Linked DNA regions of Mus musculus: region 2 is reported to be linked to region 1. The links are microRNA targets in miRTarBase. Many come from high-throughput screens and were not tested one by one. Region 1 holds a microRNA gene; the other region holds the end of a gene's coding sequence.
The links. The annotated mature microRNA mmu-miR-208a-3p reads AUAAGACGAGCAAAAAGCUUGU and lies in region 1 at 2,615-2,636, shown strand. An mRNA with a match to its seed (bases 2 to 7 or 8) in the 3' UTR can be bound and repressed. Matches are read on the target gene's strand: a 7mer-m8 pairs with bases 2 to 8, a 7mer-A1 pairs with bases 2 to 7 and ends in A, and an 8mer does both.

Region 1 (4,150 bases):
AGCACTCATGTGTGGTTTGTTCCCATCTTGGCTCCATCTTCTTTATTTTACCCAGAATACTGAGCCATCCCCTGCATCTTCTGCCATAAGTCTGGGCAAGTTCTTTGGCCTCTAGGAGATAATAATGTCATTATTCTCACTGCGTCTATAGGCCCCTCCCTCTTCTGTGTAGGATCTGTGCTTCAAGTCCTACCTTCTCCACGTTGAGAGCAGAGGTGTAAGTCCCCTCTCTCCTACCTCAGGGTCTACTCTGTAGTTCATTAAAATTGTCCATTGCACCAAAAAAAAAAGAGAGAGAGAGAGAGAATTCCACAAACTTTCCCTATAGAGACAAAAGGCTAAAATGGCAAATGTGCATACTCCAGATTTAGTCAGGACCAAGTCTAAGGCCACACCAATGAGGTAGGGGTATGAAGAAGAGGGCATCTTATTGATACATAGCTTGGCTTGGAAAGGAGCAATCAAGCTACATCCTGGACCTAGGATACCTAAGGAATCCATGACATGGGGAATCTAGGTGATTAGACCTCATGGTTAGCTCAGATAATTGCAGTAGGATTTGGTTGTTCTTGAGGCAGCTTTGCTACAAATGTTAGTTTAAAAAAACAAAAAACAAAAAAAAAACCAAAAAAACAAAAAAACAAACAAAAAAAACCGAGTGCTCATTTCCTTGCCTTATAGTCAGTGGATCAGAGTCAGGTGAAACTGTTGGCTGTCTGAGGTTCATAATCTCAGGAGATCTCAGGATCCCGCTCCAAACACAGATGCTCAACACTTAGGCTGCAGATGCTCAAACTGAATCTCAGATGCTTTAGGGAAATCCTCCAAACTTTGGCTTCGGCCAATTTTCTATTCTAGGGTGTTTAGCAATGTCCCTTGCTTCTATAGCATCCTCCACACAGTTTAAAATGTCTCCAGCCATCACCAGCTATACCTAGTAGCTGAAAACCCGTGCTAGAGGTTTAGTGCGCATGGGAGCCTTTTAGAGCCCTGGAGCACGGGCCTCAAGGGAGGGGTCCAGGAAGCAGGTCTGATCCTTTGTATCCCTGGCTAGGCACGCATCGAGGAGCTGGAGGAGGAGCTGGAGGCAGAGCGCACAGCCCGGGCTAAGGTGGAGAAGCTGCGCTCTGACCTGTCCCGGGAGCTGGAGGAGATCAGTGAGAGGCTGGAGGAGGCAGGCGGGGCCACATCCGTGCAGATAGAGATGAATAAGAAGCGCGAGGCCGAGTTCCAGAAGATGCGGCGGGACCTGGAGGAGGCCACGCTGCAGCACGAGGCCACGGCGGCGGCCCTGCGCAAGAAGCATGCTGACAGCGTGGCGGAGCTGGGCGAGCAGATCGACAACCTCCAGCGGGTGAAGCAGAAGCTGGAGAAAGAGAAGAGCGAGTTCAAGCTGGAGCTGGATGACGTCACCTCCAACATGGAGCAGATCATCAAGGCCAAGGTGGGCCCTCTCAGCAGCTCCCCTCCTCCCTGCCAGTCGTGGCCCTTTCCACATTCACCTTTCCTCTGCTCATTAATGCCTGCAGGCCAACCTGGAGAAAGTGTCCCGGACACTGGAGGACCAGGCCAATGAGTACCGCGTGAAGCTGGAAGAAGCCCAGCGCTCCCTCAATGACTTCACCACACAGCGAGCCAAGCTGCAGACAGAGAACGGTGGGTGCCCCTTACCGTCCCCTAGCCTGCCCCTGGTAGCTTTGGTTTCCCCCTTCCATGGCCCAAGAACCCTTCATTCCACCTGCAGGGGAGTTGGCTAGGCAACTGGAAGAAAAGGAGGCATTGATTTCCCAGCTGACCCGAGGCAAGCTCTCCTACACCCAGCAGATGGAGGACCTCAAGAGGCAACTGGAGGAGGAAGGCAAGGTGAGGCCCATATAATGGCAGTGGGACAGACTCCGTGGCATCACTGGACACACTGTTACCTCCAAGAGTGCACCTGGATGCCAGAGGTAACCTGGTAACCTATCTCCCTACTAAATGGTCAGCCCTCCTGATCATTTAATGACTCCTTATTGGTAAAGGAGAGAGGTAGGCAAATGGAAATCACTCAAAGACATTGAGACTCCACTTCATGTGGGTGAATCTGGGTCTTGACTGAAGTAAATACGCATAAGAATCTAGAGACTGGAGGGTTGGGTTTGCTCCAATCTCCTTGATGCCCACCTCTTCCCAGGCCAAGAACGCCCTGGCCCACGCACTGCAATCATCCCGGCATGACTGTGACCTGCTGAGGGAACAGTATGAAGAAGAAATGGAGGCCAAGGCTGAGCTACAGCGTGTCCTGTCCAAGGCCAACTCAGAGGTGGCCCAGTGGAGGACCAAGTATGAGACGGATGCCATACAGAGGACGGAGGAGCTGGAGGAAGCCAAGTGAGTCCACTGTGGCTGCCCCTGGATTTGCCAAGAGAATGGAGCAGAGCGTCTGCTGTGGAGACAGGCAGAGTAGATGCAGGAAAGAGCTTTGGGGTGGGAGAACAGAGGATGGGGAGACCTGGTGAGCCATGGGAGTGTTTGGTAGAAAGCCTGAGTCCTGCAACCTGTAACGCCTGGCTGGCCCTTGCTTACTTCCTTTGACGGGTGAGCTTTTGGCCCGGGTTATACCTGACACTCACGTATAAGACGAGCAAAAAGCTTGTTGGTCAGAGGAGCTATCATCATGCAGCCTGGGCCTGAGGGAAGCGGGTGGGGGTGCACAGTCACACAGATGTGATGTATGTGTGGGAGAGTCTGAGCAGCCTGTGATGGACGTCTCTGTTCTAGGCTCCAGTAGCCCTCACATCCTCTAGGCTGGGGTTCCAACATCTTAGGGAACTGTGGGGAGAAGCTGGGTCTTTCCCATCAACACTCGGAAGGAGGAGATCATCTCACGTCCTTGTGGCTCCAAGTACAGTCACATACATTCCCCTGGACAGGAAGAAGCTGGCTCAGAGGCTGCAGGATGCAGAGGAGGCAGTGGAGGCCGTCAACGCCAAGTGTTCCTCCCTGGAGAAGACCAAGCACAGGCTGCAGAATGAGATCGAGGACCTGATGGTGGACGTGGAGCGCTCCAATGCCGCCGCCGCAGCCCTGGACAAGAAGCAGAGGAACTTTGACAAGGTAGGCTCACGGTGGGGCTGCAGACACTGTGCATGCTGCTGGTGGGGTCAGTGCCAGCTCAAGGCCACAGCATGTTCCTTGGAGGTGGGGGAGGAGGGCTGAGTCAGGAGAGGGGCCTGGGCAGTTCTGGTCACAGGGCGCTCCTTCCCTGCAGATCCTGGCTGAGTGGAAGCAGAAGTATGAGGAGTCGCAGTCAGAGCTGGAGTCTTCCCAGAAGGAGGCGCGCTCCCTGAGCACAGAGCTCTTCAAGCTCAAGAACGCCTATGAGGAGTCTCTGGAGCACCTGGAGACCTTCAAGCGGGAGAACAAGAACCTCCAGGGTGGGCGAGCTGGGGGACAGGGAAGAGCCTCAGGGAAAGGGAAGTGGGGCAAGGCATATTGATCTTTCTGGTCCTCTGATCCTCAGAGGAGATCTCAGACCTGACTGAACAGCTGGGAGAAGGGGGGAAAAACGTGCACGAGCTGGAGAAGATCCGCAAACAGCTGGAGGTGGAGAAGCTGGAGCTGCAGTCAGCCCTGGAGGAGGCTGAGGTAAGGGCCTAACTAGGCACTCTCCAGCCTGTCCTGCTGTATCCTGTCTTACCGCCTCACAGAAGTCACCCTGACCCCAGGACACAAATCTATTGGCTCCCATTCTTAGTAGACAGTCACCATGGGTATTCTTAGATACCCAGGAACAATGACTTCCCCCAAAGTTGAGTTCCTCACATTGTACAATGCCACAGTCTGGTTTGTAGGACAGAAGGCTTGCTTGCTTCCTGGCTGGAATCGGGCTATCATAATATCAGCTCAAACCACTGGGTAGGAACACAGGCTCCAGGGTCAAATGACCTAGGTTTGAACCCTGTCTTGAGACCCTCTGTGTGCCTTGCTGCCCTCATCTATAAGATGGAATTAATGTATAAACCTCATAGGATTATGTATATGATAATTATGAAGACTGAGTAAAATAACACAGTCAAGCACTTACTAGCCATGCTTGCTGCGCATTTCTAAGAACTTGGGACAGCCCGGGATTAGGGCTATAGACACTTCAACCTTTACTGTGATTTTT
Region 2 (4,000 bases), not on the chromosome of region 1:
AGCTTTGGGGACAGTTTTGAATTTCTTTATGTTTTTGAGATGCTGAATGTGGAACCACTGGCCTCACTGCTGCTCTCCCAGTGAGTCCATTCTGGCCCCAGCACACACAAACACATGCACACACACACACACACACACACACACACACACACAGTCATTGGCTTTGGTGCTCTCTCCTGTCTGTTCCATGCTGAGTTGTCTCTGGCACCCTTCCTGCCACCACCTTCCTTCACGTGATACCAATCCTGTCCTGGCGCCTTTCTAGAAGTGTGGGAGGTTTGTGCCCTCCTTTCCTGACTGACACACGGGTGTAGACTGTACAAGCAGGCAGCACCTGGCTGTGCTTTGCTCTAAGGACTACTGAAGGCGGTGACCCTGGTGTGCTCTGCTGCAGGTGCCGTTGTGACCATCACCACACCTGTAAACATGAATGTGGACAGCCTTCAGTCCCTGTCCTCAGACGGGGCCACCCTGGCCGTACAGCAGGTCATGATGGCAGGGCAGAGTGAGGACGAGTCGGTGGATAGCACAGAGGATGAGGGCGGCGCCCTGGCGCCCACACACATCAGCGGGCTGGTGCTGGAGAACAGCGACTCCCTTCAGTAGGAAGCACCAACGGGGTCAGTGTGGAGCTGGGCGCTGGACTCTTCACTGTTTGCACAGCAAGCATCTTACAGTTGTCTTTGTAACCTGTTTTATATGTAGATATAGAAGGTGCACTTTTGTATTTCGCAGCAAGCTTCAAGACGTCTTTGCCGGTGCAGCGACTTCCTTCAGATGTGCGTGTATGGGTTTTTAATGCTAGAAACGTGGCCCCTGCCCCTTGAGTCCTTGACGAGATTAAGGAACAGTGCTGCCATTTTCTAAAATTCTGCAGTTGCAATTGAGTCGTGTGGTTTACAGCAGGTCTGGGGGCGGCTGCTGGTGCCGCTCACAGGTCTGAAAGATGACCTGCACGCAGGCTGCAGAGCGAGAGGGCTCTGGCCCCGGTGGGCTGTGGGTGCCCACCACACACTTCAGTTCTCTCAGGCAGCATTTGCCTGTTTCATTTGCTATATAGAAAAAGAAACTCCTATTTTTACCTTGCTGGGATTATTGGATAAAAAGCTATTTTTATAAATCAGTTATTAATTGGATTATGACTATATTGAGGATAAATTTCTAGAGAAGCAACAGCACATGCTTGTCTTTCGATTCGGAATGTTCTGAAAGGCGGCCACCTGCTCATGGTCTCCTGCTCTCTGGGGAGGAGAGGGCTCGCCTCAGCTGCTAAAAGGAAACAACTGTCAAGTGAGCTTTTGACATCTCCAGTTTCTGCTCATGTGTGATGCAGACTGCTACATTTTACACTCGCTAGAGCATCTTACACAGTGTACTCAGTAGGACGTACGGTAAGTGAGGGCTCTGCCACGCCTAGTCTGACTGCAGTTCCATGGCTGCCTGGCTATGTTAACTGGGTGGTAATTTTAGATTTTTTTTTTTTAGTTAAAACCTGTTATATAGAGAATGTTTATTATAAACTAATATAAAGTGTGTTCTGCCCCACTGGCTCAGAGCTGGTGTAAACAGCAAACACCTAAACTGTCTTTCTTACTGGCAGACACCTAGAAGTTAGAACCATGGCTGTAACGTGGCGGTGGGGCCCACTGGTGGCTCTCACTGTCACTCACTCTCCAGGCTCCTCCCCCTCTCTGTTACCACTACAGACTCAGGACAGTTTGAGGACCTCATTTCTGAGTGTCAAGGCTGAGATTTGGTTTGGTTTGTTTGGGTCTACTTGGGAAGCTTTTTCTTAGGAAACAGGCATCTGTCTTCACAGTGGTACCTAGGCCACCTGCAGATAGGGAACAGCTGTCTAGGGGTCCCTGCCTTGGGCCCCACGGTTACCCCACGGTTACCTCTTTAGCTAATTCAGGAATAGTTCACCATCACCCCAAATGTCTTGATTCTCTTCAGCCATTGAGCACACCTGAACAGCCAAGTAGTCAGCAAAAAGAATGGGGGCTCCGTTTGAACCACTTAAGGTGCGTCCAAGACAGCAAAATAAAACCCCCAGAACTTGCCAGCAACTCCTTTGAGGAGAGAATACTATTTCAAGCAGTCTTTCCCTTACCTATTTACAAACTGTTTTAACAGTTTAAGTCCGGCATACAAAAGCCTGCACGATCAGCTGGCTCTATTAGGTTTAGAGCAGAAGTACATCTCTCTTGTGAGCCCTGCAGAGCTCTGCCAGTCCCCAAAATGGAAGCACAGCCCCTGCTGCACCAGCTGGTGGCGCTCTAGCTGGGATTCGAACACCATGCTCTACCGTGTCCTTTCCAGTTGAAATCATCTTTCCTAAGCACAGAACTCTAGCCTGCTAAATCAAAGGAATATCATGAAGATCGTAAGAGAACCCCAGGCACGGTGACACACTCCTGTAATCCCAACACTCAGGAACCTGAGACAGGAGGCAAGCCTGGGCTACTTGACCCTGTCTTAAAAAAAAAAAGCTAGTAAAAGAGCTGGCACAGGGTCATATCCTTTCACCTCCCCGTGCACAGAGATGCTTTTAAGTGCTCCCCATGAGGCGAGCCATGCTGGTTCATAGAGTCCCTGCCCAGCAGATTTGGTGTCTGCCAGTTGCACCTTTGAGACACCTGCTTGCTGGGCACAATGGCATATTCCTGTAAACAAGCACTTAGGAGGCTGAAGCAGGAGGATTGCTGCAAGGTCGAGTTGGCCTCTGGTGTGTAGTGAAACCCAGTTTCAAAAAAAAAAAAAAAAAATCGAGCAAAACTCCTGCTCGCCTTTCCTTGGCCAGTGCAGAAAACCTTTGAGCTTTGTTTAAATGGTCAGACTCCCAAACATTGGAGCCTTTTGAATGTGTTCTGAGACCTACAGTCAACTCGTGTCATTCCTGCTGTTTGGCTGTCTAGCAGAAATCTAGACTGGCTGACCCACTCCTCCGGTGGGCTCAGGTTTTCTGCTTTCTTGATTCCAGATTGTCAAATAGAAGTGTATATGCAATATGCACTGTGACCCTTGCGGCTAGGGCTGACGGGCCACTGTGTAGCCTGCTGGGTGGCCAGTGCACCTGTGGGGGCAGCGGGAGACTTGCTCCTCCCCCATGGCTGGCAGGGAAATGCCCATCCCAGAGGCCCCTCCCGCAGGTTGTGACTGGAACACAGCAGGCTGCCTTCTTCAGTTAAGTTCGGTCTTTGAAACTGACAATCTTTAAAATGTGAATACTGTAACAATATGTTTTCTTGGATTGTTGTCTTTAAAAGGATTTTTGTGAAGCAATTGATTTATCAAAGAAAAAAAAAATTAAAACCAGAAACATGCCTTGTGGACGATTGATTCTGTAAAGCTTGTGCCACCAAAGTGGACTTTGTCACTCCTAGGCAAGATCCTCAAGATTGCCACACACCTTGCAGTGACACCAGGGTGGGGAGTTGAGGCTACCCTAGCTGTTTGGCTTCAATTAGTTGACATTTTCTCAAGGAAAAAAAAAACTGCAAAGCAGATTTTTCATCGTAACATTTCATACACTGGATTATTTTGGCCTAACAAGAGAATGATTGATGGGTCCAGACCTGTCACCTTTGCTGGTCCCACACTGTAAAACCCCTTGCAAGGTGCCCCTGGACACGTGCAGGAGGTGTTGCAGGTCCCCAGTTTGTGCTTGGAACCGTGGACCAACAGGCTGTTTTCCTTCAGAAGTGTATCTAAGGGCCAGGGGTGATGCTCTCAGTTGGTATAGCGCTTGCCTGGCATGCACAGAACCCTGGGTTCAGTGGCCAGCACCCCATAATCCGGGCAATTGGGAGTAGAGGGTCAGAAAAGCAGAAGTCCAAGCTCAAAGTCGACTGCTTCCTAAGTCTGAGACAGGACAGACCATGTCTCAAAAGAACATCTGAAATTGACTTTGGGTGGCCAATGGCTGGAAGCATTTGACTTTCAGAAGGTGGAGATATGTGTCCTTGAACTCTGCTGTCCAAGGTGGATAGATAAGACC

Region 2: miRTarBase lists Pknox1 as a target of mmu-miR-208a-3p. Seed matches in the 3' UTR shown: 7mer-A1 at 2,476-2,482.

Annotation. Positions count from the first base shown.
Region 1 is chr14:54,947,558-54,951,707 of GRCm38, reverse strand. It overlaps Mir208a (microRNA 208a), which reads left to right and starts at 2,566; the gene lies at 2,566-2,648. Myh6 (myosin, heavy polypeptide 6, cardiac muscle, alpha) reads left to right here. Exons shown (of 39, transcript NM_001164171.1): 26 at 1,055-1,444; 27 at 1,530-1,656; 28 at 1,745-1,863; 29 at 2,174-2,370; 30 at 2,913-3,096; 31 at 3,251-3,416; 32 at 3,503-3,627. It overlaps Gm52092 (a long non-coding RNA gene), which reads right to left and starts at 668. Exons shown (of 3, transcript XR_003950992.1): 1 at 194-668; 2 at 1-111.
Region 2 is chr17:31,604,359-31,608,358 of GRCm38, forward strand. It overlaps Pknox1 (Pbx/knotted 1 homeobox), which reads left to right. Exons shown (of 11, transcript NM_016670.3): 11 at 395-3,335. The coding sequence ends at 606. Among named protein-coding and RNA genes, the nearest start is that of Cbs, 31 kb to the right of the region's middle.